2 linked regions of the Caenorhabditis elegans genome follow. The protein of the gene in region 1 purifies or fractionates together with the protein of each later gene. This does not show direct contact. Each region holds a gene or a part of one and is shown on either strand. Other genes may lie near its edges.

Region 1 (3,755 bases):
ATTGCTCCAAAACGTCCCTCGTCGAACTTGGTCAAGATTTTGAGACGAGTTGTTGCCTTCTTATCATTATCGTCAAGTCTGAAAATTCATTGATATTTAGGCATATGGGTAGGCAGGCATGAACTGGTACGCAGGCAAGAATGAGCTAGGCAGGTTGGTAGGCATGAGGTAGGCCCTTCGGTGAGCAAACGTAAACACACAGGCAGCCATGGTGTATACACGAAGGTGGACCCGCAGGCCCGTTGGTAGGCATGAACTAGGCATTTAATAGATGCCTTCTAACCATAGAGTAGGCACACGGGTAGCCATAAAGTAGACGTCTAGGTAGGAATAAAGTAATTATGTAGGCATGGATGCCTTACGTAGGCATGCATAAGGTAGACACGCAGTTAGGCTTGATAAAGGCACAGGTAGGCACTTTGCGAGGCAACTCTTATTCCACTAACTTCTCAGCAATGACCACATGATCCGTCGATCTCAATTCAGCACGTGTCTTGAGGTAAGTGTTCAATGTTTTCACCGTCTCAATTGTGACTTTTGGATCGACATACATCTCTCGCCATTCGGCTTCCAGCACTTTCCGGGCAAAGTTCGGAGGATCTTCCGGTTTTCGGAACAGAGATCCCGCCATGCGATACTGAAAATGAGTACATAAATATCAAATTATAACCGAAAAAGTAGGCATAAAGGCGACCTACGCCTGCCTCATGGCTGCCACTTTCATCAAGCATTTGGAAGTAGGAAAGTATAATTCTGGGCATAGTTTGCTCTCTGCAACACCTTTTCCGAGTACGGTAGCTTCCCAGGTCCGCTAACACCATCAAGCATAACTTTACAGCATGCCTAAATAGGCATGTATTAGGCTCCATTTGCCGGCAAATTGCAGAAACACCGCAAAATGCCGTAGTTCTCGTGGTTTTTGCGTATTTTCGAAGGTACAGTAACCCTGAAACTGTATGATGCGCGATACTCCAATGCAACAGTCTGCCGAACGTGTAATAGTATCCAAAAAAGTTCAGAAATCCGGAATGTATACCTTCTTATCGATATTTGCAGCATCAACTGCTAATTTTGACTTGACTTTCTCGAGCTGTCTCTGACTTTCACCCGATTCTTCAGATTCTTCAGAAGTTGAAGAATCTCGTGCCTCTTTCTTCTTCTTTCTCTCCTTTTGCTTCTTTTTATCCTTCTTGTTCTTCTTTTCAAGACTATTCTTCTTCTGAGTCGATTTTTCTTTTTTCTTCTTATCCGCTTTCTTTTTCCGTTTATCGATTTTTTTAATTAAGCGATCCTGAACACCGGTATTCTCAGATATTCCTCAAGCCTTTTGATCTTACCATTCGTTTTTCTTATACTTCTCGAACGCTGGTTTTTGAAGCAAACACCAACTCGGACCACCGTAAAATTGAAACTGAATTTTATTTGTTTTTTTTTCAAAACCTTCCCCCCTTATCTCCACATTCAATCTATTTAGCACTCACGCTTTCAATACTTTCAATTAAAAAAGGCGAAAATTATTTGTTAAATAAATAAAATTTATTCTCGCTATAGTGTTTAAACTTTAATTTAAATTTAACTATTTAAATTTGACTATTTAAATAATTTCAGACCCAATTCTTTCCCTTCACTGTTCAATTTAAATCGAGAATAGTGGCGCCGAATTTCTCTGCGACTACGGTCAAAAATTGCGGACTTGCCGCGTACACCATGACGCGCAATTGCACATGTGACATTTTTCTAGAAGATTTTCAATTTTTTTCGTCAAAAAACGTTCATTTCACCTCAGTTTTTTTAAGTTGGCTGATGAAATTATATCCAGAAATTTAAAATTCAAACCTATTTCCAGTTTCTGTCCGCTCTGCACTCAGATTTAGCATTTTAGGTCGATTTTCAGTGTTCTTGGTATCATTGCATTTTAAAATTCTTCGAGAAGATCCCGAATAACCGAACAGCTGCCAATGTTGCTATTCCAATTTTCTTTCGTTCATTTTATTCATTCCTCGAGAATATTCTGCGGGTTTGATATCGAGAACATTGTTTCGAAATGCTGAATTTCGTTTCTTTTTCTTATTTTTGAAAATCAATTCTCTTTCAACAACTTATACTTAAATAATTTTCTCTTAATTAAAATTTTTAACATGCTAATATTTTCAGTGTCTGTCAAGACGGAACTTGGATAAGAAAATGGCGCAGTCATCTGCGCAACTACTGTTCGATGAGAGCGGGCAACCGTTCATCGTTATGCGTGAGCAGGAGAACCAGAAGCGTATCACCGGAGTTGAAGCTGTGAAAGTATGTAATAATTATTTTTTTAACCGGAACATTTAGTTTCTAAATGTTATGTTTTCATGTTTGACAAGTCCTGAAGTTTGTTCTTAAAATTAACTTCATTATTTCAGAGTCATATTCTTGCCGCTCGTGCTGTGGCCAACACTCTTCGCACATCTCTCGGTCCACGTGGACTCGACAAGATGCTCGTTTCTCCAGACGGCGATGTCACCATCACCAACGACGGAGCCACTATCATGGAGAAAATGGATGTGCAACATCACGTTGCCAAGCTTATGGTTGAGCTCTCCAAGTCTCAAGATCACGAAATTGGAGACGGAACCACTGGTGTCGTTGGTGCGTTTTTTTTTTTGGCAGAATTCAGCGCGCACCTCGTAAAATTAGATAGCTTAAACTTATTATGATTATCATGTGAGAGTTGAATATATTTTAGTTTAGAAAACCTTTCCTAATATCAAGTAAATTCCTAGCGAAATTCTTTCCTCTGGTGATTCTCTATGAACATTTTTCGATTCATGTCTAGAAAATGTCCACATTTCTCCCTTTTCTTCGTCGTAACTAAACCGTGTTTGCTTTCCGATTTTTCCTTTTTTGGTCGCTGTCCTTCATTTTCTTCTGCTGTGTAGTTTCGTCTGCAGCATAGTTTAAAATTATTTCGGTTTAACGTTTGAAATTCACCTCAACTACGTAAACCATAATCTTGATAAACTTCGGAATAGCTTTGATAGTTGTAACAAGATTTTCATTTTAAAAAAGCAAAGAGTTGATGTTATTGTCTGAGCTTGTGGATACAGCCGGCAAATCGAAATTTTGATTGCAGGATTTTTTGTAAACGTCACCAGCAGCTGCATTTTAAAATGCCATTGAGAAGCAAATTCGTGAGCATTTAGAGTAAAAGAACTGAAATGTTCATTGATTTTTTCATAAAATGACCGTATTTTTATGATGACTATGAGAAGCGCACCTATTTGTTGACGTCATAAACCCGGAATAAGTCTGAATTTCGAGACAATCAGTCTGAGTCACTCGGCAAAATTGGTTATCGATAATTTTTCGTGCTGGTTATAAAAACGAACTCTGTACACATGAAATTCGAAGTGAAACGTGTTTCATCTGCAATCTTTTCTTTATCAGTATCACACATTAAATCGAAATACTTTCTATCGAAAATGTATATTTTGTTGTCACCCTCTGGTCATTCATGATAATTAATTTAAAAAAAAAAGAACCCTTAGCCGTTCCTTTAAAAGTTTGAAATGTTTGATCTATGAGAAAGTGCGCCTGCTCGTTGTCGATCGTTCTAACTAAACAATCCATTTGCTCTCCTTTTTCGCTGTGCCCGACGCTCCGACAAAATAAAAAACGAAAAGATTGCTCATTTTTCTGATGGTGTGAGCACACAAAAGCCAACAGTTGAATGGGAGGTCTGTCGATTCTCCATGTTCTTTGATTCTTCATTGTTTCTA
Region 2 (3,755 bases), on another chromosome or scaffold:
CTATTTGTCACAAATAACGGCGCTTGGAGATATCTACGTTACCCTTTCCTTATTTTAAACTACACGCTCGTACTTGCCTATTGCATTCCAGTATATCTAGATGTTCCGGAAGATCAGGAAAATGCCAAGCGTGTCATGTTCGAGATGTATCCTCAAGCCTGTGAACTTGTCGTCTCCAAGTCTGTTATATTTGTGATGACGCTTGGTGATGATTATTGGTCGAACTTACGGGAAAATGCTCTGACAGTGTTGGTGTTAGTGGAGATTGTTGTCTTCGTTGTAGTGATAAGGGTGAAAATGAATAGAGCTACAAAGGATATTCAAACATCAATATCACGTGATACATTTCACAAGCATAGGATGTTCATAAGAGCCTTGAATCTTAAGGTACTTACTTGCCACGTCAAAAAAAGTTAGCGAAAAAATCAATATTCAAATTCAGATCGCTATTCCGATTGCGATCATCTTCATCCCGGCGGTCTTTGGTGCGTATCTAGCTTCACAAGATTCCGTTCAACAAGGTGTTGATAACTTACTGAACACTGTAACATCACTCCATGGATTATCAGCTACGATTCTGATGATATATCTGCAAAAACCATATCGTGAAGTGTTCCTGGCAGTGGTTCTTCGTCGAAAAAAGCCAGTTGAACTTAAAACTGTTCGAATCTTTTCTGCAACTCGAATTACTAAGAGTTTTGTGTGATTATCAAGTAACACTTATTTGATCTTATTTTAAAAAAAGTGAACACTGAAATAAAGTTAATATCATTCGCATGAACCAACCTGGAACCGGGAACAAAAAAAATTGAAGATGCTCATAAAATGCATAATTGAAATAATAGAAAACTATAGAATACAAAATCGATCGAACGTATGTATTATATTTCTCTCTTTTTTTTTAACTTGGAGACATTTCCTTTTAAAAAATCAGACAAGACATCGTTTTTGACTTTTATTTTACGTTTATTCGAATAATTCACTATGTAGTTCCTTCTTCTAACAAAGTCGCAATTTCAAATAGTCTATTTTGTTACAAAAAAGATATGAATTTTGATACAAAACTTCTTGACACCCCAAATATGCTAATCTTTTTGAATGTGTTACTAAACCTTAAAAGTTACCTTTTTTCAATGTTTTTTTTTGATTACCGTATATACTCCGGAGTTCCGCACTAATCTCCGGGTTTTCCGCGACTTGTGCACTATTAGAGACTGCCGCGGTACTCCCACTGGGCTATAATTTAAGCCTAGCCGGGGACTGTGGCCGAAAATCCAGTCATGGATTGCTCCACTTCCCAATAGACCCTGGTTGAACCTAGGAGGTAAGGCCGGACTTGAACTCGTGACCTCTAGATTACTAGCGGACACCACCACCGACTGAGCTATCGTGTCTCCGTGTATTAAAGCTACACGGGTCTTCTTAGAAAAGTTCATCACCTATTGAAACCACAAATAGCTATATTAAAGTGGAGTAGCGACTACGAATTGGATAAAACAATTCCACGAGTGCTAATGTGAACAAATATCATAGTTAAACTTGTAATTCGCACAAATTAGTTGTATTCAAGGAAATGTCAATCAATGAAGTCTGAACTTTGTTTTGTTTGTGTGCATTTGCGTGTTAGGACAATGCTTGCTCGAGTAATTTCATTTTCCTTCCAGTCGTTCTCCAAAACAGCGCACAATTACTTTTACTTTTCTCATTTAATCTCGGCTCGCCTAACATGCTTCTAACAATTCTCAAGGATCCATTTGTCTATTCCATGTGCTTCTATATAATTTCTGCATTCTCACTTCCAATTCATATATTCGGAGGGTACTGTATTCTGTATAAAACTCCAGTTATCATGAAATCAGTGAAATGGGCGCTGTTCAACCTTCATTTCTGGTCTGCCGCCCTGGATATTTCGATTAGCTTGTTCGTTCAGCCATATCAATGTACTCCAGCGTTGGCTGGGTTTTCAATGGGGCTCTGGGGTTGGATGGGAGTTCCACCACCAATTTGGACCCTTATTCATTTTGTTATTTTTAGATGTGAGTTTATTTTTTTGAAAATAGTGAACGAGAATAACCCCGTGCTCATATACTATGGTAACATTAAATTCGTAGCGAAAACTACTGTAGCAGCGCCAGTGTCGATTTACGGGCTCGATTTTCTTGATTTTTTTTTTTCAAATTTTCTTTAGTTTTACTGTAGTTTTTGCTACGAGAAATTTCGCGCGTGCCAGAATTCGTTGCGTGTTTTACAGAAACTAGGACCAAAACTTCAAAAGTTCACCGGGTTATATTTGGTGTTCGGTAGAGCGTATTTGCAGTTGAGTACAACTTGCCATGGTACAAACTAAATAACCTCGCTCATGATACTCATTCTGAAATCTTATATTGATATCTCAAAAACTTTCTATCAGAGAAAATGTTAAGTTGAGACATCCCCAAACTGGCTATACACGTGGCGTCATAGTGTCCCATGTCGGTTTGATTTACTTACAAGGGAAGACTTTCAGCTCGTCCTCGGACTTCCGAATGAAACCTATTATAATTGAAAGAGGACCTTAATAGAAGGTCACTCCAAAATTTTTAGTCTCGGAGGAGCACTTTGAAGTGGGTAAACATCGATCTGAAAAGCCCTATGCTCGAAAAACGCATGATCTTTGGATACCTATATCTCCGTGAAAAAAATTTTTATGGCCAAGTGATCAATTACAAAGCTGTTTATCATAACTTAAAGTACAACTTTGTAGTTAATTGTTTTTTATCAAAAAATTTGTTGGTCGTGATATGAACAGGAAAAGAAGATAATAATTCGAGCATGAATGTGACGAACTTTACACAACTTTATCTCGACCAACAAATTTTTTGATAAAAAACGATCAACTACAAAGTTGTACTTTAAGTTATGATAAACAACTTTGTAGTTGATCACTTTGCCATAAAAATTTTTTTCACGGAGATATAGGTATCCAAAGATCATGCGTTTTTTGAACATAGGGCTACTACTATACCTCAATTTTGGATGTTAAACTCGTTTTTTAACATTCTAACTATAGAAACATCCAGTTTTGCATGGTTCTATAACATCTGGTCACTTTATAGAAAGTTTTCGGAAAAAAATGCGCACAAAAATCATTGAAAATTGAAAAAAATATATATTTCTAAAAGCGAACGACTTGACTTGTACATGCACGGGAATGAATGTATTAACCCTAAAAGTTGGAAAATGTGCATTTTCAGAATGCTTCCAGACTTCCATGAGCGCAAGAAAAATTCGAAAAAAAAAATTAACCATGTCGGAAAACGAACCTACATCTATCATCTGATGGGCGAAGTGTTTACCACTGCGCCACCCATCTTCGATTTAAATTGAAATTATGTCGTTACTTATTATTTATGTTCTTCAAACTTCCCACTAATGCAAAATTAGTGCTTTTGAGTGAGGGTGTAGAGGCATATTTTCAGATCGCCGTTTACCCACTTCAAAGTGCTCCTCCGAGACTAAAAATTTTGGAGTGACCTTCTATTAAGGTCCTCTCTCGAATAAAATAGGTCTCATTCGGAAGTCCGAGGACGAGCTGAAAGGCTTCCCTTGTTAGATTTATAGAAAAAGCGGGAAATGAAACGCAGAGTTCTCAACTGACCTCACATGTTTCTGGGCAAAAAATTTCCGAATTTTTTGTAGATCAAACCGTACCCGTTTGTTCGGTGTAGCGCGTTTGCACTCATCTAGCTGCTGTACCACCGAATTTCTTAAAAGTC

What was found. The genes of interacting proteins can lie anywhere in the genome.
Region 2: the proteins of cct-5 (region 1) and srh-301 fractionate together in Caenorhabditis elegans (co-fractionation; one large-scale study listed by BioGRID). This does not show direct contact.

The regions. Positions count from the first base shown.
Region 1 is NC_003281.10:4,506,514-4,510,268, reverse strand, and holds the start of cct-5 (T-complex protein 1 subunit epsilon), read left to right. Parts: upstream 1-2,154; 5' UTR 2,155-2,184; coding exon 2,185-2,292; intron 2,293-2,399; coding exon 2,400-2,625; intron 2,626-3,755. Other genes in the region: F25F2.1 (Protein kinase domain-containing protein), read right to left, coding at 1-78, 447-637, 1,037-1,291, 1,338-1,340.
Region 2 is NC_003283.11:17,823,184-17,826,938, forward strand, and holds the start of srh-301 (Serpentine Receptor, class H), read left to right. Parts: upstream 1-1,726; coding exon 1,727-2,036; intron 2,037-3,755. Other genes in the region: srh-300 (Serpentine Receptor, class H), read left to right, coding at 1-387, 443-706.